Arabidopsis thaliana: one gene and its partner. The protein of the gene in region 1 interacts with the protein of each later gene in a pairwise test. Each region holds a gene or a part of one and is shown on either strand. Other genes may lie near its edges.

Region 1 (12,593 bases):
CACAAGGTTCTTCTTGTAGTTCGTTGGGTTTTCATTGGTTACCACTTACCAGAGAATTGTATTTTTTTTTTTAAAGATAATTATTTTGCAACCTCGGGTGATTACACTCTAAACAAGATGGGCTCTGCAACAGGAGCCAGTACCACCAATTACACACAATCTCGTATAAGAACAATACATGCCAATACAGCTTCCACAGCACAGAAAACTCTTTTCCTCTTTGCTTCATCTCTGCATAGCTTGCTTATAATATAGCTTTAAACCTCAAGATTTGCAGACTTCTTCATAGTAAGATCAAAGAAGACAGTGTTGTGGTTTGCATAACGATCATTTGGGTCAAAATATAGCTTCAAACCTCTGAGGGAGTTCAAACATAGCAGATTCTATCACTACCACCTTCCCTCAGAGCCAAGGAGTTGTAGATGTAGTGGTCAGAATGAAGATTGAGGATGAATGGGCCATTAGACAAGATTGCACTGGTTCTAATTTCATGGCTCCTACTTTCTTTGTAATTAAAGTGTTTGGTAAAGGGAATAAGAGACTTGAAGAAATGAAAATGTTTGAATAATTTTTTATTTTTTGATTTATAACTTTGGGCCTTTTGTTTATTTCATGAAAAACAAAACCTGCTACGCGAAAGAGAGTGTCTCATCTGACGTAGCGAATACCGAGCAGGATTGTAACGGGTTAAATGACCCGACCCGATTTGTTCTATTAATTTCTATTTCATTTCTTTTTTTTTTAATCATTCTTCTCAAATAATTTACTTTCTGGTCCTTCGATAATGGCGGCCTCCTGCTTCGCAATTCCCTTATCTTCTTCTTCTCGATCGTCTCACAATGCAATTCCCAAATACAAAACCCTAATCTCTTCTTCTTCTTACTCTTACTTAGAATCTCTGAAACTTCAATTCTCTTCTTCCAATTCTTTTCATCACTCTTCTCTTTCTCGTCCCTTTGTAGCTCAACCACTTCAAATCAAGGTCTCTTCTTCAGAATTATCAGTTCTCGATGAAGAAAAAGAAGAAGAAGTAGTTAAAGGAGAAGCAGAACCCAATAAAGATAGTGTCGTCTCCAAAGCAGAACCAGTAAAGAAACCGAGACCTTGCGAGCTCTACGTGTGTAATATCCCTAGAAGCTACGACATTGCTCAGCTTCTTGACATGTTTCAGCCTTTTGGAACTGTAATCTCTGTAGAGGTGGTACTTCTTATCCAGATTTGATTGATCCTACAATGCCTTTATGAAAATTCAAAGTTTTACTCTTTCAACTTAGCTTTGAAAATTCAAAGATCATCCACAATGTAATTTGAAAATACTTAGCTTTGAGTTCCATCAAGACGAATCAAACGTACTGGTTACTCTTTTGAGTATATGGATGATTGACAAGTATAGTGAGAGGTGTGCATTGCTTGGAAATGATGTTGCAGGTATCGCGAAATCCTCAGACGGGAGAGAGCCGTGGAAGCGGGTACGTGACAATGGGTTCTATAAACTCTGCCAAAATCGCCATTGCTTCTCTTGATGGAACAGTAAGAGCCCGGGAAACCAAAAAACAAGTCTATCTTTCTTCTGGTTGAGTGTAAAGTTGAGTGCTTTGGTTTTGTTGCTATATATGAAGGAAGTAGGTGGTCGGGAAATGCGGGTTAGGTACTCTGTTGACATGAATCCAGGAACAAGAAGAAACCCTGAAGTCTTGAACTCAACTCCAAAGAAGATTCTGATGTACGAAAGCCAACACAAGGTCTATGTCGGAAATCTCCCTTGGTTCACACAGCCTGATGGTTTGAGAAACCACTTTAGCAAGTTTGGCACAATCGTAAGCACGAGAGTGTTACATGATCGTAAGACCGGGAGAAACAGAGTCTTTGCCTTTCTTTCTTTTACAAGCGGTGAAGAACGTGATGCGGCTTTATCATTCAATGGAACAGTTAAGTTCGTTATCCATAAAAAGAATCTTGCTTGAGGAAACTTCTTCTACTGCTCTCTGGCTTTATCACAATCTCTCTTTTGCAGCAATATGAAGGTCGCAGAATCATCGTCAGAGAAGGTATCGAGAAGAGTGAGTCGTAAACCAACTGTTCTGCTTTTGCTGCAAAGACATCTCTTGGACACAAACAATGTGTAATGAATGTCTTCTGATTTCTTCGACAAGTAACCTTTACATATTATATCCTTCTCGATTTTGTTTATCACCCATTATATCTACCTGTATAATTCTCTTTTCGATCTTCTTCTTCGATTCATCTACTCTACAAATGAAAGATAATCGTCAAACCTCCCCAACTGTCGTCTCACTCTAACATTTTGCCAAACACTTGGTGTGCATGCAATACTCAGGTTCCAAATAAAGAAAACAGAACCATTAGCATCTTCATTTTGTAAGGCTTAACTCCGAGGATCCGATTCGGAGACCCGAATAAGGATTTAGGATCCACACACGACTTTCGTCACTCTCCGATTCCATTCCCCGTTGGAGAAGATCAACCAACTAGGGTTTTAAATCTCGGGAGGAGACTGAAAAAGGCCATAAATGATAAATGGGCTTTATATTTGTTTAGGCCCAGTGAAATGATTTCAAGTGGGCCCATCTGATAACTACCTCCTTTTACCTTCTTACACCAGAAATCACACAAACCCTAGTGTGATTCAGTCCAGAAAATACAAACTTTTTCAATTAATTATATCACTAAATTTGTTTTAAGATATTGATCTTTAGAGCATGTTCATAGGTGATACTCACAAAATATCATCAAGAATATTTTTTAGTATTATTTATAATGTTTGTTTAATAAATATATATAATATTTTTTGCTTTTGTCAAATGTAACCAATCAGAAGAAGCCACGTCAGATGATACTGGTATCACAAATATCAGTGGGCTGATACTGATAAGCATATTCTAATTGCTTTACTAATATAAAAATAATTTTTGTACTTGTGATAATCTAAAAATATCACCCATGTACATGGTTTTATAACTATTTCTTGATTGCAACATTCACTATGGGCTATTAATGCCATTAAAACCGGTTCATTGCTGAATTTATTGGCCCAAACCCTAAAACGCAGCTTAAACTTGTTAGCCAGCCTTTAAACTCTGAAGAGTCAAATCGTGAACAATTAGATTTCACACATAAAGTATTCGTATCTAACTCAGGGTGGACACAATCTTCTTCTTATATGCTAATGATTCGTTCGCCACTTTCACGGTTTCACCTAATTACATACACTATTGTTTTCGTTTATACGTTTCTATTTTTTATTCGCATCTTCCTATTTCACTATTCAAAACCATAGTGTTGCATTACGCATTAGTTCGAGACAATTCAATCCTCCATCGGGGGGCTAAATGATATCACTCTAAATTTATTACACTTTCAAAATTAAAGTTTATATATACCACATATATAAGTAGTGCAAACTAGATGGATCCAATGAAAGAAAAAAAAAAAAAGTGTAAAAGGGATCCAATGAAGATGCGAACAATTAAGATGGAGAATTATTTTGTGAAAGTCACAAATCTCACCTGATTATGATTAGTCTATCTTGTTCAAAAGTGTTTTCTTTTTCCCAGTCATTTCTCGAATCTGAATCAAATATGACGTTTGATTTAGAAAATAGTCATCGTGCATATTTATTAGTGGCTTCTTTGTTATTATTGTCAGTGGTTGATCTATCTAAGAAGAATATGAATATTTAATTTACCTTTTCTCCCTAAATCCTTTTTCCTCTAGTAAATTAGAATAAACTAAACAGTAATTATCTCTTTCCCTACATCTATGTTGAAAATAAGAAGAGAAAGTTTCGATGTTGCGCGGAGTTTTGCAGGAAACACATGCATGTCTCTTCTTATTGATCCAAAATTTAAATTAAAAACAGAAAGCAAAATTAGAACTATAATGGAGATCAAGATTTACCAAGTTACTCAACCTTTATTCAGGCTGGAAGTATATATAACCCACAAAATTCTTAAGAAAGTTTTTGAATTTTGTTTAACCTAAAATTAATAACTTACTTGGTGGATGAAGAATCAATCATATGCTAAGAATTTCCGCGAGAGATGTAAACCTTTTTTTAATTATGTGAAGTTTTATGCTGTGATATAGAATCCGTGAGTAATGTTGTACTATAGTTTAGTGTTTTGAACTTTTGATCCATCCATTTATTTAAGATTAAAATATAAAAAAGAAAATCAAAGAATTTTAGTGGTAATTATTATCATAATCTGTTAGTATTCAATAAATTTTGTAATTTCAGTCCTCACATCAAATATAATAGTATACACATTTCTTTGCGATATTAGTGGCCACAAAATTCCCAATTATGCTCGAAGATAGAAGTTATAAATTAGAAAACTTAGTGAGGTACATGTCGACCCACACTATATATTCTTAACTTTTTTAAAAACGTTATTCTTGTCTCGTTACTTTCAATTGCTTTTCTGCTCCCTCCAACTATTTTTAGTGGGTTTGTTCGATATTATGTTCAAAAATTCTCTTCTTTTCCTTAAAAACATGTCGTGAAAAAAAAACACAAACATTTAGTTTCCGACTGAGTTTTCATTTGCCAAAGTTGTATAGCTAGCGCTTGTTTAGTGCTTGGTGTTAAGAAAAGCAACATGAGGTAAATGGAGGATGATTTCTGTGCCTTAACACCTAAACCATTTAATCGTTTAGACAACATTAGGTTGTTTAAAAAAAAAAACTATTAAGTTGTTCATGCATGTATAAGATAAAATTATTATATATTGATGCATTTAATGAGTTAAATAATTTATAAACAATGTAATAAATTACATTTTATAAGTTGTAAGAAAGATCAATAGTTGTAGCTAGTTGGTAAGAAAAAATATTCTGTTAATTTAACAAGTACAAATTTGCTCGATTTATAGTTTTGTAATATCAGGAAAACAAAATTTCAACTTCAAGTTCTATATTTTCAGTGTTCTAAATCCAAACTATATTTGAAGGAGTAAACTAACATTAGTTTTAACTTCAAAAAGATACTTGTCTAGATAGAAAAAAACGTTTAGACTTCTTAGAGCATCATTATCAATAGGTTGTTAACAATATCATAAGAACTATTAAAATATTATATTAAACAAAATAAGAATAAAAAAAAATAAAAAAGTGTGCTTGAGATGAAAAATGGCTCTTAGCTAAGAGTTTTCTTCCTTATTCTCTTCTTTTGTAAGAGCCTTTCTAATATTTAAACATTATGTTATATATCAAAATTGTTTAGAACTACATGTAAGAGTCCATTGATAAAGATGGTCTTAGCCCACTTAAAGTAACTCATGAACATAGAGAAAATCAGTCTAACTTCTAAAATCAAGACGTGTATGAAAGGCTTAGACACTTGTTTCTGAAAAATTATGTCAAACCAACTCTGAAGCCATGCATAAGTAGGCATATCCCAAATTAATTCCACTTTCACGACCACTCATGCACTCGAACTCAGATAGCAATACCAACTCCTTTTTGTCTTTTCCTTCTTTTTTTCGTATCACAAAAGTTTTGTCAAGTTCAATCTAGATAGATTGCGATCAATCTTATCAATGGAAATAGTAATGTTTCTTCTTTTAGTTTTTTTTTTACCACCCACATGTTAAAATTAAGGGTCAATTTGCAAGATGATTATAAAGAGACATAATCTGCAAAGAATACGCAATATAATATTAGTAAATGAGTGGCAATTTCTCATTCGTGTTTGATTTAAAAGACAAATAGACCGCAACTTAGAATTTTCTGTTAACCTTAACAGAAAATGATATTTGTAATATATATGACTTGTCGTGATAGAATTCACAACCTTTTTTTTTTTCCTTTACTAACACTTTTATTTTGATTTCTATTTTAAATTCGAGTCGTATATTACGATAATATATAATAAAAGTTCTAAAAATTTTCCTTAATATATTATCATTTACATAACACCAATAATCATTTTTTCAGTAAAACCACTAATAAAAAAACTTGTCTTATGGGGTTAAGGGAGTTTAATTGATATATATATATATATTTACAACTTTACTATAGCATTTGAAATAATTTAAAACTCCGTAATTATTTTTGAGCTTTGATTTGTCTACGGCACTGAAGGCGGTGAAAAAAATTATGGTAAAGGCCAAATTTGCCGGACAAAACGAAATTTACATACTGTGCTGTGGAATCAAAAAAAGAAGAAAATATATATATATATATATATATATAACAGGTTGTGGGAACATTAATCTATGCCAAGTTAACGAATTCGTAATTCACCAAAAAAAAAAGTTAACGAATTCGTTAGATTAAAATCAAATGCTTCGGCGTGGTAATGTACCTATGTAATTTCCTTAGAATCTTGCAAAGAGTATTTGGATATATGATGAATATAGTAATATGTTATGCTATTTTAAACGTTTGAAAATCCTATTGTACACATAAAAAATTAAAGGGTGTAGTATGAAGTGCTTGATTAACTTTTCATTAAAACAAATGCATATGCTGTAGTAAGATTTTAGATAAGTAGTTCAGGAGAATAAAAATATAGGTTAACGTTAACGTCAAAGCTAAGTAAGTCCAAAGTGGAACAACACATACACACTTTTCTTATAAATATGGGAAGCTTTGTGGTTGCCAAACTCAAAGCACATTGGGGCTTATCTCTCTCTAAGTAATACACACAAAAATAACTCACATATAGAGAGAGATATGGCTGGAGATATGCAAGGAGTGAGAGTAGTAGAAAAATATTCACCGGTCATAGTGATGGTGATGTCAAATGTAGCGATGGGTTCGGTGAATGCACTTGTGAAGAAAGCTCTTGATGTTGGTGTGAACCATATGGTCATTGGTGCTTATCGAATGGCTATTTCCGCTTTAATTTTGGTTCCCTTTGCCTATGTCTTGGAAAGGTTTGATATGTTGATCGAAATAGGAGATAGTGAAAATTCTGTATTCTAACATGCAAGTAGAAATTTAGAAGCCACGAATGTTAATATATATGTATAATTTTAATGAATTTTCTAAAGAATTTCTATTGTTGTTAAATAGGAAAACAAGACCACAAATAACGTTTAGGCTAATGGTCGATCATTTCGTCAGTGGCCTTCTCGGGTTAGTCCTCTCAAACCTAATTGCATTTTATTATATTATTTTGTCGGCCATTTGCAATTTATTCTTATAGTTTAATAGTTTGTACTAATCATAAGCTAAATTATTAAAGATCTTTTAATTAATTTATGGGTTTAAATTGACAGGGCGAGTTTGATGCAGTTTTTCTTTTTGCTTGGTCTGTCGTACACGTCAGCAACTGTTTCGTGTGCTTTGGTAAGCATGTTGCCTGCAATCACCTTCGCTTTGGCCCTTATTTTCAGGTAACGATGGAACCATCTAACCTCTTTATCATCAATTGATAATATATATTAATCTAGATTTTTAAAAAGCACTACTGAAAGTATTGACAACATAATATAGAACATTATATTTTCTTATTAATTGTAATGCAATCTGATTGGTTTTCTTTTCCATCAAATTACCTTAAGTATACGTAACTGCATCCACTGAGCCCTCTTTCTAAAGCTTTTCCTGAAAAAATGTCTTTTCTTAGCTATACGTCGCATTTTTATAAACTTTGATGGAATGATGCGGAAAATTATTAAAAAGCGACTCTATTTTGTAACGCCAGGAAAGAAAAAAAACAAATACTTTCTACTATGATTCATATTCTCAATAACTTGTTTCAAAATAATCATTAAAATTTTACTTTTTTTAGGACTGAAAATGTGAAGATTCTAAAGACCAAAGCAGGAATGTTGAAGGTGATTGGAACTTTGATCTGTATAAGTGGAGCTTTGTTCTTAACATTTTACAAAGGCCCACAAATATCAAACTCTCACTCTCACTCTCACGGTGGGGCTTCCCACAACAACAACGATCAAGACAAGGCCAATAATTGGCTTCTTGGATGTCTTTATTTAACCATAGGAACAGTGTTGCTATCTCTATGGATGTTGTTTCAAGGGACTTTAAGTATTAAGTACCCTTGCAAATACTCGAGCACTTGTCTTATGTCAATTTTCGCGGCATTTCAATGTGCTCTCTTGAGCCTTTACAAGAGCAGAGACGTTAATGATTGGATCATAGATGATAGATTCGTTATCACCGTCATCATATACGCTGTAAGTTACAAACATCATATCTTTATAAATTAACTTTTTAAAAATTATAAGATTAGTATGTAAGAACTTAAGATATTAATGTGGGTTTTTTTATGTGGTTTTTTTTTATCATATATTATAGGGAGTGGTAGGACAAGCAATGACGACGGTTGCAACAACATGGGGGATTAAAAAATTAGGAGCTGTGTTCGCATCGGCGTTTTTCCCACTTACTCTCATTTCGGCTACTCTATTTGATTTCCTCATTTTACACACTCCTTTATACCTTGGAAGGTATCTTCTTCGATAATCTCTATCAAATTAATTTTGTCTAGGCATAACACTAATTACAACATTAAAACTTTTGGTCTACAGTGTGATTGGATCACTAGTGACCATAACGGGTCTCTACATGTTCTTGTGGGGGAAGAACAAAGAAACGGAATCATCAACTGCATTGTCTTCAGGAATGGATAACGAAGCTCAATATACTACTCCTAATAAGGATAACGACTCTAAGTCGCCCGTTTAATTTAATTATATTGTTGTTAATGTATGTTTCAAATAACTGTTATGTCCTAGTTAATGTTTAAGGAGAGGTAATGAGAGATAAAATTTTATAATTCCAAACATCAACGTAGAGATTTGTGAAATATTTAAATCCGGTTTGTTTGGTTATTTTGGAATAATTTCGGTTATTTCAATTAGATTCGGGTAGTTCAGTTCTTCGGTTAGTAACAAAAACTGGTCTATTGTTTTTTGGTTAACCTAGAACCGAACCGAACTAACCAAAGTTCTCGGTAACCTTTTGTAGTGGCTTCCTGACCGATGAGGCCGTCAACTTCAAAAAATATTGCAACTAAGCTCTGCTCCAACATTAGAGTATCTATAACTATGTTAAACGCTTCTGCTTTAAGCAAAACACAGTTGTAAGCTGGAATCTAAAAAAATGAGTGTAATGATGTTTGCTGAATTCCATAAATAAATACTACATGCTTCGGTTAAGACTTAAGAGTAATTAATGTTCCTTAATTTCTACAAATGTTATATAAGCAAGTTGACCAAAGTTCTCGATGATAATTTGTTGAAATTTTGTATAGGCATTGCATGATATTATATGAAAAGATGAAGATTTTTATACAGACGCAAGTTCCCCGAGCAGTCCAAGCTTGTCGGGTTTAATTCAACTATGTTAATACGCAAATTTATATAGAATAGGCGTAAAAGTGAGGCCCATACAATGTCTTATTACAAGCCCAGATCCAGCATAGCCAATACGTAGCAGTACACCATCACAGCTGGCACCGTACCCACTTGTTTAGTCGTCCAAGTTTGTACCAATAATCGTTTACACGTAAGCAATTGTGGACCACCACACTCACTTTTACCTACGTGAGCTTCACATTGAAGCTTCTGGCTCGTAGAGAAGCAACTTGAGATATACCAAAAAGTGCAGTAGACAGCCACTACAATATCACCACGTGTCGATCTGCGATGACTTCTGTTTTTTCCATTTATACCCTTGGTGCTGTTCCAGCCTCAAATAAACTTTTCAATTAAAATTTTTCCAAAAATTAGGGGAAAAATTGTTGTGGCTGAGATTGCTTCTGGCTTCTCTTCTTCTTCTTCCAGTCTTCTTCAGCCTAAAACAGTCTTCCTTCTTCTTCTTCTTCTTCTTCTTCTTCTTCTTCTTCAGTTATCTTCTTCCTTCTTCTCTCTGTTTTTTAAATTTATTTTTAGAGATTTTTTTTTGTTTTGCTTCCGATTTGATTATTTCCGGGAACGATGACTTCTCCGGGGAGTTCCCGGTGAGATGATAAGTCAGATTGCATACTTGTCTCCTCCATGGCTACTCTCAAGGGTATAACAGTTTACATTATGAGCAGTTTCTAGGATTCCTATAACATACTAAGATCTCTGTTTGGCTGCTGAGAAACTTATAGAAGCGATTAACTAAATCTTATTAGCTCTAAAAGTTAGCATAAATGATACGAATCTGGTGATTGATTACTGATATGAAGATTTGTGAAGGTTTTGGCTGCGGTGGATTCGTTTGGGTGAGGCTTTTGTGAATAATAATAAAGGGAATTCTTTTGAGTTCTGCTGGAGAAGCAGCGACTGTTTCACGGTGGACTTTGAAAAGATTTCTCTTTTGAATTTCGCTCATCACTCTTATCTTAGTGTTTGTGGATAAATATTTCTCATAAAGTACTTTCTCCTTTGCAGTTTCTCTAGAATCTAAAGAGGTTATCACAACGGCTTTGCAATTTGAAAACTTTCATGTTTGGGGAGATCAAAGATGGTTTCTTTTTTATACTTTACTTGTTAGAGAGGATTTGAAGCAGCGAATAGCTGCACCGGTCCTGTTATGGATACTAATACATCTGGAGAAGAATTATTAGCTAAGGTACTACTACTAATGAAATAAGATTGGTGTTTTTTTGTTTGAGAGATTTGGACTGTTGTTGTGTGAAGATTTGATTTTCTTTTGGGTTTTCAAATGTTTAGGCAAGAAAGCCATATACAATAACAAAGCAGCGAGAGCGATGGACTGAGGATGAGCATGAGAGGTTTCTAGAAGCCTTGAGGCTTTATGGAAGAGCTTGGCAACGAATTGAAGGTCGAAAGTTTATCTTTTGAATGTTTAGTTTGAACTCTTTGAGATTTTATATTCCTTTGTTTAGGAGTGTCTTTATCTCCTCTTGATTGGGAGATTCCTTCTTTTCTTTTCATTTTGTGTGCAGAACATATTGGGACAAAGACTGCTGTTCAGATCAGAAGTCATGCACAAAAGTTCTTCACAAAGGTAAGTTGATGATCCTTTCAGATCTTTTTAAAACACTTTCGTTATCTTGTGTAAAGGTACCATTTTTTCATATCGATCTATGACTATGTTTAGAAGTTGCCTGTCACTGTCTGGAAAAGATGATAGAAGGTTCTTCTTATTCTTCCTTTTCTCTAATTGCTTCAACTAGAAATTAGGCGTCTAAGTAGAGTGTGTTTTGCTAAGTAGAGTTGGTTGGTTCCGAGGATTGCATCTCGATCGTTTTTTATCTTTTTCATTTACTCTGTTCAACTAAACTTAACATTAGATTGGTCTGTCCAAACTTACTGTTAGAAAAAACTCTACAGAGAGCTTTCTTCTCTGAGACCATAAGATAGGTCCAAATTAACATAACTAGCGTTGCATTTGGATGACACAATTGTCCCATATTCACTAAAGTCGATGAAATAATGGGATTGCATGAATTCTTTTAGCCATCCATATGGAAACCAAACCTCCTTGCCCTATAGGACAGGACATGAAGTAACTCTATCATCTCTACCCCGAAAAATTCGGGTCAGTATAAGACTTTTTTCAACCTTGGTGATGTGGTCAATTTCATGAATCTCAGGATTTCACATCTGAGCTGCATTTTTCCATCTCCAGTTTGGAAAAGCTCACAGTTTTTGGTTCACATTTCAGTTGGAGAAAGAGGCTGAAGTTAAAGGCATCCCTGTTTGCCAAGCTTTGGACATAGAAATTCCGCCTCCTCGTCCTAAACGAAAACCCAATACTCCTTATCCTCGAAAGCCTGGGAACAACGGTACATCTTCCTCTCAAGTATCATCAGCAAAAGATGCAAAACTTGTTTCATCGGCCTCTTCTTCACAGTTGAATCAGGCGTTCTTGGATTTGGAAAAAATGCCGTTCTCTGAGGTTTATTCCTGATCTTTCTCTTCTTCATTTTATCATTTTGGTGGTCTTGTGATAGACTTCTTATGTTTTATTTTCTGGTTAGAAAACATCAACTGGAAAAGAAAATCAAGATGAGAATTGCTCGGGTGTTTCTACTGTGAACAAGTATCCCTTACCAACGAAAGTAAGTCTAAGAAAGCTACAAAATTGTAGTCGAAGAATCTGATGAATGCTTTCAAGTGCATGACAAATTATTTGTTCCATTCTGATTTTTAGCAGGTAAGTGGCGACATTGAAACAAGTAAGACCTCAACTGTGGACAACGCGGTTCAAGATGTTCCCAAGAAGAACAAAGACAAAGATGGTAACGATGGTACTACTGTGCACAGCATGCAAAACTACCCTTGGCATTTCCACGCAGATATTGTGAACGGGAATATAGCAAAATGCCCTCAAAATCATCCCTCAGGTATGGTATCTCAAGACTTCATGTTTCATCCTATGAGAGAAGAAACTCACGGGCACGCAAATCTTCAAGCTACAACAGCATCTGCTACTACTACAGCTTCTCATCAAGCGTTTCCAGCTTGTCATTCACAGGATGATTACCGTTCGTTTCTCCAGATATCATCTACTTTCTCCAATCTTATTATGTCAACTCTCCTACAGAATCCTGCAGCTCATGCTGCAGCTACATTCGCTGCTTCGGTCTGGCCTTATGCGAGTGTCGGGAATTCTGGTGATTCATCAACCCCAATGAGCTCTTCTCC
Region 2 (13,161 bases), on another chromosome or scaffold:
ATCCGACGAGCAAGAACATTCGAGCTTCTTAAACTCCTCTCTCTCCCTTCTTCATCATCACCGCCGCTTCTTTCCACGGCGGCTTACCTTCCGACAAACTTCACAATCCTTGCACACCACGCATGGCACACACTAACACTAGGTCTCGGAACAAGAAAGTCCAAAGTTGTGGTCTTCGTGTTCGAAACAGAGGCGATGAAATCATCCGTTGTGGCGGCGGAAGGAGGAATCTGGCCATCGGAGATTCCATTGGGAGATGTGAACAAGAAGATGATCAGAAAGTTAAAGAACTGGGAGATGGCAAGGTTTAAGTTCAGAAAAGGTTGTATCACGTTTTACGTTTACGCCGTGAGAAACGCCGGAAATGAAGGGTTTGCGGCGGCGGAGGACTTAAAGGTAATATTACAAGCGGTGGTGGCATTGAAAGATTTCATGGATCACACCGCAATGCTTGTAATGCCCCACCAGAAAAGTATTAATTACAGCTCTTGTCCTCCTTTTGCCATGGCTCACTGAACTTTGAACAATATTATACAAGTGGGCCCTCTTCTCTTTTTTCTTTTCTTTTTACTCCTTTTTTTTGTTGATATAGAAAAAAAAGTTCGGATTATTATTTATTTTTGGTTCCATAATGGGGTTGTTTGTTATTAATTTCCTGTATTTTTTTCTTTGATTTGGGTGGAAGATTGTTGGTATGAATAAGATTAAAACTGTTGAGTTGGGTTGGTTTTGTTCGTGCATTTCATCCATAGTGATCAGAAGCTGAATCTCACTTAGAATTCTTAGGTAAATCTTAAAAAATGTGGAAGAATTGGAAGATTGGAGAAATATATGTATGAAAAATATTTACATTTCATTAGTTAGTCAATTTTTTCATATAAATTAAATTTCTTGTTTTTTCTAATTTCACATGTTTTTTTTATCAATAAGATTTTTCTTCAGATCCTATAAATCATCATTTTAGTATATGTTATGATTTTCAGAGCTTAGTTTTAAGTGTCATTATACATATATGACGCATCAACCGAATAAAGTTAGAAGAAGCGAGTGTTAAGGGTAGTATGTTATCCTATATTTTCTATGTAGTTGTGATGTCTCTGCACATTACAATCTAGTATTGGTGTATTGATCTCAGGTCACAACCGCACACTTACATTACATGTCTACTTCTACATGGTCTCACCCAAATATGATTTGAATGAGACTAGAATTTACTACAGTATTTCATATATTAACAATTCTGTAACATTGTCATGTCAAGATATGTTAACAATGTAAAGTCATAGTTTTACAACATGTCATAGTTGTCCAATGATACTACTACTACACATTGTCATATTTCTTAGTCTTTTAAACCTTTGTCGGGTCAAAGTATGATTGGTCGAGGAATCGGCATTTAGAAATCTTCAACTGATGCTAATCTCATGGCCTAGAAAGACATAATTATCTTGTAGATAAGGTTATGTTTCTAAACGCTTATATTGCTTTATAGGTTGATGGACCATCTATATCCAACATAAAGATCACAAGTCACACAAATCAATGTTTTTAAGCGTAACGCTGAAGCAAATTTTATGGAAGTTCCACTTTATTTAAATAAAAGGAATCAGCGAAAAAATAATTAACAAAAAAATCTTAAAATTAGGATAATCCGAAATTAAACACAAAGCTGATGATCTCTCAAATCCAAAGTTCCTCAGAACCATTATGTTAGGATTTTCCAGACAAATACTACTACATAGACAATCTCCTTAGTACTTACATGCACCATTGCTTGGGTTGTTCCCTACGATCATACCAGTTCCACTGAAGTTACAAGCACCATCAGTGCGGCCGTGGCTCTGGAAATAAGCATTCATAACAAAAGATGCGTGCGTCCTCAAACTGCTCGGGTTAAAGCACGAACCACCAGCTTGGATCGGTTTACAGTCAACACCCTGACCACACACCCAATTAATACTGTCTTGCAGCTGAGTATTCGTCGCCCCGGACCTCGCTACACACCATTTACCGCCGGCAGTACTAGGTGCGGGCAATGCTGGGCGGCCTCCACCGCCTTGTCCGTTTCGGAGAAGACCAACATCGTAAACCGGGGAGAAATCTGCTCGGAAAAGTCCCCAGTTACGCTCTGCGGTCGGACCGGGTTTGCCTTCTTCGTTGAAGAGACCGAAAATGTATGTCTCGAACCGTCTGTTAGGCATGAGAGGTGTCCCTTGGCCTTGTGCACGTTTGATAATGTTGAGGTTGAACCAAGCAGCATTCGCAGGCGAGCACCAAGGTGCGTCACAAGCAGATGGCCAGCCAGTCTCGCCAACGACAATGTTAACATCACCGTATCCAAGAGCTTTCATGGCTGAGTATGTCGAGTCCATGAGTGCATCAAACATGTTGGTGTAGACGTGGCGGGTGAACGGGTCACGGACTGCCTTGTACGGTGTTCGGAAAATTGCGAAGTTGACGTTTTTGGGGTCAAAACCAAAGTAAGGGTACGGGTTAACCATGAAAGGTGACTTGGTTCGGCGATGGTAAGCTAGGATTGGAGCCAATATGCCTTTGTCCCAACCCGGCCTGAATCTACCGCTGCTTGGTGCACCGGTCAGGTCATAGGCTATGATGTTAAGTGAGTGTGCGGTTGTAACCTGAGATCAATTGCAACAAATAGTAGTATTAGAATCAATTGTTACCTACCAATCTCCAACAATTTTCATATGATAATCATGTTGGTCTAAATTTCCTATGAAATTGGTACATTATCTCATTTACCTAGGATCACATATATCATGATGTAATAAAGGAAACATAAGGCATGGCAGACAGATGAACGAATCTAAGGACAATAGGATAACCTTGGACGGTGATGAGATAAGCACGTGGGATAGTCTAAATGGTCAGATCTTAATCCAATCGCTAACATTTTCAAGTTTCAAATCTTTGAATTTTGCTTTGGGAATTTATTTTTTTCCTCTTTTTAAGAAACTAACAATATACAAGTTGGATGAAAAAAAGAAAGAAGCAAACGCAACATTCTACGTTTGCGTGAAATTTTGGATTTCAAGTTAGATAACAGACGAAAAAATAGAGATTGAATCTAATTTTTCAAAATAATCAATTTTTGTTTTGCATATTTTTTTCAACGTTGTTTTTCAACTTTATACATATGCGCAATCAATGCATTATCTCTGATATAAAAAAGGGAAAGAAAAAAAAACAGTGCATTTTTCACGCCAATCATCAATTCACTATTAATAATTACAATTTCTTTTAGTTAAAGAAAATTAAAACTAGGTAAAAAAGTTAAGTAAACAAAAAAAAAAAAAACTTTCCCACTAGCAAATATCAAATTCAAAGTTGAGATTTCAAAATTTTTTATCTGAAATTTATACAATAATGAACATCAAACTTAACTTTAATTTTATTTACCAAAACCAAACAAATATTCTACTTATTCCTTAAAATAGAAAAATCTGAAAAATAGAGAGAAAGCTGACCTTAACATCTCTGACACCAGCACGAACCAAAGCGTTGTTAAGATTCCTCATCGCCGGTAAGAGATTATTGATCATGTTATTATCTCCGGTGAGCAGAATCTCATTTCCGACTGAGATATACTTAATCTTCGTCTGAGGATGAAACGGCAAAATGTTAACCGAAACCCACCGACGAGCTTGTCTTCCGTTAGCCAACGCCGGAATATCACCGTTAGGAACGGTGACAACGACGGAGATACCAGTTCCAGCGAAGGCACGTAGGATATCGGGATTCACATCGAAGATCTTGACGCTATCAATCGAAGTTTGTGTCTTGATAAAGTTAGCCACCTGAGTCGGTGGTGGGAGGTTTCCGAGAGTTCCGTAGTTAACACCGATGGCGGAGATCACGGCGGGGATGGTGAGGAATACGGCGGCGCAGAGGAGGAGGAGAAGAGAGATTGACGGTGGCGCTTTGGCCATCTTTTTATATTTCGGAAATGAGAAAACCAAACGATTCCAAGTGAAACCCGTGAATCGTTTGAGTTGTGTTTTTATTATTACGACGAATAGATTTTTTTATTCTTATCGAGAAAGTATTTATAATAAAAATTAATAGATATGACCGTTTTGTATAGCGTATACGTGTGTATATTTTTAGTGAGGAACAGCTGGATTTTGTGGAAAGCAAAATAAAAGAAGAAGTTTGTGTTGTCTTTGTTTTTCATGTGCGTCGGCTTAAATTTAGGCCGTTGTAAATTATTGAAAAAGTGGATTTTGTTGTGACCGTGGAAACTTTAGTTAATTAATTTGGCTAATTATAGAGTCTGCTTTTGTTTGGATAATCAATTTGTCATCTTTTTCTTTAATGGTTTTTGGCTGGTAAATACTCATACTATCCAAGTTTAATCTAAAAATATACCTCTTTCTTGTTAATCGTAATTTTACAATCCTAATTTTATCCAGATACGGATGAACTATATTTGAAAAAAAGGAACTAAAGTGAAGTTAAGAAAACAAAAGAGAGATCGAGTGTTGTTTTTTCTTGGATACGTTTATTAAAAGATGTTCTTAATGAGGTCAAAGGAGACTATCTGAGTTTTTACTGCTAAACTTAAAACTAAAAAAAAAATCGATTAGTAATATTGATGTATCAACGAAATGTATATGGTTAAATATTAAGTGAAAAGAAAAAGAAGAGAGATCGACGCGGTTTGGGATAATGCCATTGGCCCATTGGACACGTGTTTGTAGGAGGAATAGTTTGGAGTTTGAACACTACGGACCAAAGTCAAAGAGATTCGAAGTATGAAGATGTTGTTGAGGAAGCTGATTCGAAGTAACTTTTACCGACACGCTTTAGCCATTTGTTATGCTTTCTTTGGGAAAAGAAGATCCGCGTCCATGTCTCATTGTTAACAGTTTATTGTCATTTTCAATGACATGGTTACACTCATTGCACACACACACAAACCACGTAATTTTGTATTTTTTTAATTAAATCCCATCCTTATTTTTTGCAATAACAAATTACCATTGTTACTTTTTAATGATATCACATAAAATAATCGATGCCACTCGATAGCCCTTTAGACTAACAATATGTTTGTTGAAGTATGCCACAATGTTTGAAGTGAGCCGGCTCAATGCTCTCATGGTGGTTTAGTAGTTTAACTTGAGAACTTACAACAGTTTTCTCCTTCTCCACACTATTTGTATCCAAGAAGGGGCATTACAATATAGAATTGCATAATACGATTTAAACTTTTACCAAAAAAAAAAAAGAAAAAAAAAGAAAGAATTGCGTAATACAGAATTTATCTTTAAGGGAATACAAATATAATTTGGTTTCAGAATCATCTCAATAGGCTTTCCTTTAACCAAACTTGGGTTTTATTGATGTGCTTGCTTTAATGGGCCTAAAGCCCATACAACAGCATCACTATCCACGCCGTTGTCTATTCTTATTATTCACCCCACCCGGTACACCGACCAAACCTTGGCCAACACGTCCATAATATTTCATCCTCCCTCCTAATTTACTTTAATATCCTCAACTTTCCTAATCGTTCAGGGAATATTCTCATATACCCTAGACATATGCGTCTTTTCCAATCTAAAATGTTGAGAGTATATTTTTATTTATATATATATGAGTGACCCCTGCGAGAGACAACGGCCACTGAACACTATCGATCTAATCTTTTCAGCTCTCTCCATCGTCGTCGTATCTGTGACTCTCGTGATCATCGCCTGAAAAAAATTTGAGATAATGGCCAGAAAGTTCTTCGTCGGAGGCAACTGGAAATGTGTAAGTGATCTTTACCTTCTATTGCGCACCTTATTATTAGTCTTGTCACTTGATCCTTCCCCGATCAAGTCAAAGAGATCGGAAAATCCCGATCTTAAGATCTAAGGTTTTTTTCATTATTTGTAGCGGTGGAATTTGAATTGTAATGCATATGGTTCAGATTTGTCGATTCTATGCCGGATCTTAGTTGTTTTTTTTTGTCAAAATTTTGAGTAGGAATTTTTCTTCAATTGATATCTCGTGTTCTAGCTTTGGTGGATCCGTGTGTTAATTTTGTTGGTTAAACTATTTTAACATGTTAATATTTGAATTTGTAATCTTATATAGAACGGAACTGCTGAGGAGGTGAAGAAGATTGTGAACACTCTTAATGAAGCTCAGGTTCCTTCACAGGATGTTGTAGGTATGTGTAGCATCTCAATTGCTTTGACGACATTATGGCTTTTTTTTTAATTTCCATGTCTATGAAATCTTAAGTAGTGACAAATATTTTGGGCATACAATTACAAACCTGTTTCAATGTACATCGATGTTCTATAGTGTTTATGCTTCTTAGGAACCATGGATAGATCTAGTGTTTGTTGTTAGTTAAAATGTTCTTTATCATATACTTGTTATGGTTCTATCTTTGTTGATAGTTATAAGTATGTTTGTTCTTGTATTAATAATTTGATGAAATTTTACTAAATGCAGAGGTTGTGGTTAGCCCTCCATATGTTTTTCTTCCCCTGGTTAAGAGCACATTGAGGTCTGACTTTTTTGTTGCGGCACAAAACTGTTGGGTTAAGAAAGGAGGTGCTTTCACTGGTGAAGTGAGGTGAGATTCTAACCATTGGTGTATACTTTAAGCTGTTTTACCATTATTGCTTCATGCAGTAAATATTTATGGTTTTGAAAATGAATATGATTGTGTTTATAAACGAATCGATTTTTCCATCTGTTCTTCTTCTTTATCTTCTTTCCTATAAGAATTGTGTAACCTAAGTGATTAAGAAAACAACTAGTAGTTGGTAGTAAGACCATGATTGGATTCGTGCCTGGTTAGACAAGTAGGTGTAATATGATTTACCTGTCTATGGAATGCTTTCATAGGAAGAAAAGATATATTCTGTGGTGCCTGTATTTCCTGCTCTTATGCATTGTGTAATTTGTGTGTTTTAGTGCGGAGATGCTTGTGAACTTGGATATTCCATGGGTTATCCTTGGTCACTCTGAAAGGAGGGCAATCCTTAATGAATCAAGCGAGGTTGGTGACTTTACATGATAAAATAATTTTCTGGAGACTCAAATAGCTTTTAAATTCATGATTTTGGTTTTTGACCTCTATCCTACATTTGTAGTTCGTCGGAGACAAGGTTGCCTATGCACTTGCTCAAGGTTTGAAAGTGATTGCTTGTGTTGGTGAGACTCTTGAGGAGCGGGAAGCTGGATCGACCATGGATGTTGTGGCTGCCCAGACCAAGGCTATTGCCGGTATGTATATTGTCAAACATTTAATCTCTTTTTGCTATCTCAGTTCGTTCTCGTTTACAGTGAGACCTGTTTTGATGATAGTGATGCCCGTTTCTACGCACTATACTCCCTTAGTGTGTGATTCAAACCCCACAGAAATATTTGTTGGCTAAAAAACTCTTTTTGTTGGTAATGGCAGATCGGGTGACAAACTGGTCAAATGTTGTCATAGCCTATGAACCAGTGTGGGCCATTGGAACCGGAAAGGTCGCTAGCCCAGCCCAAGCTCAAGAAGTAAGTGGTTCTCGATGCGCAGTTGCACTGTAACGTGTTGCATATGGTCATGATTTAATAGGAAAACCAATGCTGTTTTCCTTACGAGAGCTTGTTTCGTTTATGAACAGGTACACGATGAGCTGAGGAAATGGCTGGCCAAGAACGTGAGTGCTGATGTCGCTGCTACAACCCGCATCATTTATGGAGGTAGATAGATGATAACACGATCTTTAATTAAACACCCCTATATAGTTTTCTATGTTACTTAGCTTGATTATGCAAATTATTATCAGGATCCGTCAATGGTGGTAACTGCAAGGAGCTAGGTGGACAGGCCGATGTTGATGGTTTCTTGGTCGGTGGTGCTTCTCTAAAGGTACATATAATATGGTTTCTCTTGTAATGATATCTTTCGTTTGTCTCTTTCAAAACCATGACTAATGTTTTCATTCTTGGTCTTTTTGCAGCCTGAGTTTATCGACATCATTAAGGCCGCAGAGGTGAAGAAAAGTGCCTAATGAGCTCATTAAGCAATTTAAAAGTCCTTTGCTTTTCCAGTCGCAACTCTGAAAAAATGAATAAGTTGGTATTATGATATGATACATTTTGCTTCAGTTGTATTTGGCAAAAGTTTCTCTCTTACTATATTGTTTTGAGAACGCAACAATCATTTTCTTCGCCATTTATTTAGCTGTGGACTTGCAATTTGCAAATCCCTTCCTTTTACAGTCTTCTCAACTCTTCAGAGAATCTGTGTTTGGAGTTCATAACCCCTCGGGCCTTTTGATCAAACCCCTATTTCTAATGTCGTCCGATCATAAACCTGTGTGTTATATAATATGTTGTTTGTTCCATTTTAGACTTTGGTATTTTGTCATGCTTGATCTCTGAATCATGCTGTCAACCACTTTGAAAATGGCTTTACTTGTTAAATAAATGACGAGAGAATACAGGAGAAGTGGGAAATGACTTTATTTTTTCCCTTTTATCGCTTTTTGCCTATTGGTCTGTCATTTTTGACATTTTAGCTTTTAGAACATTATTATTTTCAACTTTATTGTCATCATCTTGAAAAATGTCCAACATTACGAAATTATTATGTAGAGAGTAAAAAAGGAAAAGAAATTTCATGGAGAAACTCATTGTATTAGGAATGTCAATGTTTGTAGAAAACAAAATGCTTATGTAATTTGAGTAAAACGGCTCAGTGGAACTAAAGTGATAATGTAAAAGAGACGGTTAAGTCCAAAATAAGAGCTCCCGTATGTCAGAATTGTTCAAACCATTTATTAAAAAATTGGACTCAGTATGATGAAAATGTGTATGGATTTTGATCCGACCACGAAAATCCAACTAGTGCCAATAAAAACTCCACAATATGTGACTCAGCTACAAATGTGATAACGTATTATCTCCCAAGTCAACCCACATTTCTGGTGACTTATATTTTATTTATTTCTGAGTAATATTTAAGAAAGTAGGGATTGAATTTTTATGAGTATTATATTATATAGTTGACCTTGGACTTATTTGCGTAACGAGCAAACAATTGTGACCTTAGAAATGGAGGTTTGACTAAGTCATCGATCATTTCAGCAATAGAGTAATTTTGGGTCCGTATGACTCAAAACAAGTTTTGGTAAAAAATTTCTCTGTTTTAAAAACTTGTATTTATAAAACTTATGTCCCATCCCATGATACTAAATTTAATTACATTATACGTATGTAGTCAAGCATAATTTTTTCCTGAAAAATCTTATTTTTCTTACCTACTTGTAAACTTTAATTTAATTCCTGGTTAAGTAGATATTTTTCTTAGTTCTTACAAATCTTATATTTTCTTACCTACTTTTATAAACATTTTTGAGACCACTATTACTAAACCCGAATCTGTTTCATCATTCCACACCCAAAGCATATAAATCGAAAATATCTATGATCACATGAATATCTATCATTTTCGACAAAATTTGTCCTTTTTTTTCTTTCTTTTTGTATCCAACCCCACCACGGCGAATTTATTTCAGGCCTATTAAAGATTCCAAAATCTCATGACCATCTGACTCAGATGTCATATCTATTAAAAACGTTATTTTGAATCTTAAACATATATCATTAGTGATCTTTTTGCACGTTTACTCAGATGCTTAAGATCATCAAAATCAATCTATGAATTTCAAAAGTTTTAAAAATCATACAATAGAAAAGTCCCACTGATCATTAAATTGTTATTACTAATTTTATTTAGAACTCGTTTATTATCTTTTGGTCAAAAATATAACTTTTGTCTGAATTCGTTTTTTTTTTGTTTGGACAAGAAAAAGACCTTTCTTCTTCCTTCGGTTGCCTCTACCATCTCATCAACACACATCTTCTCTTTCTCTTCTCTCATCCTCTCTCTTCTTCAGTGTTTACTTTTTCTCTTTCTCTTTTTTTTTTCTCTTTATTATTTCGCTTTAATGAGTTTTATCTGATAGAATCTGCTCCACCCAAAAACAGCATAAGAAGAAATTCATTGTCAGAGAAAAGTGCAAAAAAAAAAAACGATCTTCTTCATCATTCTACTAAATGGGTTCTTGTCTCAGTTCTCGTGTCCTTAGTACGTTCTCTACAATTCTCCATCTCCCATTTTTTTTTTTTTTTTTTTGTGATTCACACATGTGTATCTCTTCAAATCCGTGATCTTTTTGGTTAATCGATAATGGCTTTTAAGAAAAGGAATGAAATTTGCAAGAATCTTCTTCCTGTGATCTAACTGAATAAAGTTTTCCCCTTTTTTGGCGTTCTCTCAATTTTGACTGTGGTCAACGCTTTTGTGTGTTGTGCAGATAAGAGCAGTAGTGGTCTCGATGATCTTCATCTCTCGAGCTGTAAATCTTCATCATCAGCTACAGCTCATAAGACAGAAGGAGAAATCCTTAGCTCAACGACCGTCAAAAGCTTTAGCTTTAATGAACTTAAACTCGCTACTAGAAACTTCAGATCGGACTCTGTTGTTGGAGAAGGTGGCTTTGGTTGTGTCTTTAGAGGTTGGCTTGATGAGACTACTCTTACTCCTACCAAATCTAGCTCTGGTCTTGTTATTGCTGTTAAACGACTTAACCCTGATGGTTTTCAAGGTCACCGAGAATGGCTGGTACAACACTTGTTTCTTATCTTTGATTTATAACACTCTTTTGTTTTTGTGTGTGTAGGTTCTGATATTGATCTTTTTTTTTGTGGTTTCAGACAGAGATTAACTATTTGGGGCAGTTAAGTCACCCGAATTTGGTTAAATTGATTGGTTATTGCTTGGAAGATGAACAACGGCTTCTTGTGTATGAGTTTATGCACAAGGGTAGTCTTGAGAATCATCTGTTTGCAAGTGAGTCTTTGATCTCGTCCATGTTTTGTGAAACTTTGAGAGGTTGTTTGTTCTTATGTTTGAATGATTTTTTTGAAGATGGAAATAAGGATTTTAAGCCGCTATCTTGGATTCTACGGATTAAGGTTGCACTTGATGCAGCTAAAGGTCTTGCATTTCTTCATAGTGATCCCGTCAAAGTCATTTACAGAGACATCAAGGCGTCAAACATCTTACTGGACTCGGTATTCTTCTCTTTCGATGTCTACTTGTTGTCTTTATCAACGACTTAAAAGATACTGAGTTTTGTCTTTCAAACAACAGGACTTCAACGCAAAGCTTTCAGACTTTGGTTTAGCGAGAGACGGTCCAATGGGAGAACAAAGTTATGTTAGTACAAGGGTCATGGGTACTTTTGGGTACGCAGCTCCTGAGTATGTCTCAACAGGTACATTCTGTCACTAAGATATGATGCAAGTAATAATGGTTGGATAAGAAAATGTAAGACTGTTGCATGGTGCCTAACACTGGTTTTTAATGTAAATTTGAAGATAGCAACTATAAAATTTATGTGGTTAAAGGAGCATATGGGTTGATAGCTAGTTTCGTTCTCTCATCTTTCTATCTTTTTTCAGGCCACTTAAATGCTAGAAGCGACGTATACAGTTTCGGGGTTGTTCTGCTAGAACTACTATGTGGAAGGCAAGCACTAGACCATAACCGCCCGGCCAAGGAGCAAAACCTTGTGGATTGGGCTCGACCATACCTCACAAGCAGGCGAAAGGTTCTACTAATTGTGGACACTCGGCTTAACTCACAGTACAAACCCGAAGGAGCAGTGAGACTGGCAAGCATTGCTGTGCAATGCCTATCATTCGAACCCAAATCACGTCCGACCATGGACCAAGTGGTTCGAGCCTTGGTACAGCTGCAAGACAGCGTGGTTAAACCGGCCAATGTTGACCCGCTTAAGGTTAAGGATACCAAGAAACTTGTGGGATTGAAAACAGAAGACAAGTACCAGAGAAACGGTTTAAACAAAAAAACCGTTGGATTGTAGTAGGTAGAGGGAAATATAAGGTTACTTGGTTAGGTACTCTTCATGTCTTCTTCTTGTGTATTGTAATATTGTGCGAAGTGATTTTGACATTTTGTAACACTGCTTATAGTTTTGCTCCTGAAATATTCGATTTGGAGATACTTGTTTTCTCTCTATCTATAGTTTGGTGATATATGCCAAAATGTGGTAGTGATCAATTCCACTCTCTTCTAACATTTTAGTTTACTATATATGTAACTAATTTCTGTCAAGTTGATTTGTTTTTATGAAAATGACTTTAATTAGTATAGTTGATGATTGAATCATAAATAACTTGTAGCCAAAAACAGACAGAATAGTACAACAAACTCATAATGTAACATTAATATCAATTCCGAAGTTCACAAAATACCATAAATATCAAATTCCATGAACATTGTCATCAACCAGAAATAAATAAATTTTACGTTAATTAAGCCAAAATGGATCTCGAGTTAAATCAATATCAATAACTATTCAACATAGCCAAATAAGTCACTATTTTAGAACAAGAACTAACTCAATTTGAGGTTTTCAAAATTCCTATATCAATTTAGAACGAGAATCTCCAAAACACAAGTCACCTCAGTAAACTTATATATTTAAGGGTTACTTTGTTTTTGTCATAAATGTTAAAAGTTACTAAAACTGTTTTTTCCCCAATTTTTTTTACTGTTTCTCTAATTGTCAACAATCAACAATCTTTCCCTTTTTCCATTTAAAAAAACATACGCGAAAAAGGAAAAAACGCGATAAGGCCAAAAGCCCATTTAATAAATGGGCCAAGCTCTCCGATCAATAGAAAAAGATCTGTCTTCTTCTTCTCTATTCTCTGATCTCTCATAAGAAGGGCTTAGGGTTCACTTCAGATCTGTCTTTGAACATTGCTACTCTCAAGTGATCAAATTAACTCCGTCGCAGGTAAATTCCACAATCCTCCGACCGTAAACCCTAATTTATCACTGTTCTTCCAAGAAACAAGTTTTTGTTTTGATGAAATTGAGGATCTTGCGTTGAAATCGTTTTGTTTCTATGGTAGGTGATGAGGAGATACAGTCCGCCTTATTACAGTCCTCCGAGGAGAGGATACGGTGGTCGAGGTAGAAGTCCTCCTCCTCCTCCTCCTCGACGTGGATATGGTGGTGGTGGTGGTGGTGGTGGACGTAGAGGATCTAGCCATGGAAGTCTCTTGGTTCGTAACATTCCTCTTGATTGCAGGTAAATTCTCTTCCTT

What was found.
Region 2: the proteins of UMAMIT28 (region 1) and TPI interact in a protein complementation assay, tested with the Arabidopsis thaliana proteins (one large-scale study listed by BioGRID).

The regions. Positions count from the first base shown.
Region 1 is NC_003070.9:34,981-47,573, reverse strand, and holds UMAMIT28 (nodulin MtN21 /EamA-like transporter family protein), read left to right. Parts: upstream 1-6,556; 5' UTR 6,557-6,696; coding exon 6,697-6,899; exon of another isoform or gene 6,900-6,976; coding exon of another isoform or gene 6,977-7,038; coding exon 7,039-7,101; intron 7,102-7,244; coding exon 7,245-7,361; intron 7,362-7,759; coding exon 7,760-8,165; intron 8,166-8,286; coding exon 8,287-8,438; intron 8,439-8,519; coding exon 8,520-8,676; 3' UTR 8,677-9,130; downstream 9,131-12,593. Other genes in the region: AT1G01080 (RNA-binding (RRM/RBD/RNP motifs) family protein), read left to right, coding at 785-1,201, 1,429-1,530, 1,620-1,928, 2,015-2,071; LHY (Homeodomain-like superfamily protein), read left to right, coding at 10,513-10,551, 10,653-10,764, 10,889-10,950, 11,611-11,844, 11,927-12,007, 12,100-12,593.
Region 2 is NC_003074.8:20,548,055-20,561,215, forward strand, and holds TPI (triosephosphate isomerase), read left to right. Parts: upstream 1-5,348; 5' UTR 5,349-5,739; coding exon 5,740-5,778; intron 5,779-6,105; coding exon 6,106-6,181; intron 6,182-6,471; coding exon 6,472-6,595; intron 6,596-6,939; coding exon 6,940-7,024; intron 7,025-7,118; coding exon 7,119-7,251; intron 7,252-7,429; coding exon 7,430-7,524; intron 7,525-7,634; coding exon 7,635-7,713; intron 7,714-7,799; coding exon 7,800-7,882; intron 7,883-7,973; coding exon 7,974-8,024; 3' UTR 8,025-8,506; downstream 8,507-13,161. Other genes in the region: AT3G55420 (uncharacterized protein), read left to right, coding at 1-516; AT3G55430 (O-Glycosyl hydrolases family 17 protein), read right to left, coding at 1,752-2,639, 3,489-3,950; PBL1 (PBS1-like 1), read left to right, coding at 10,075-10,153, 10,272-10,642, 10,735-10,870, 10,949-11,094, 11,174-11,297, 11,485-11,909; SCL30 (SC35-like splicing factor 30), read left to right, coding at 12,970-13,145.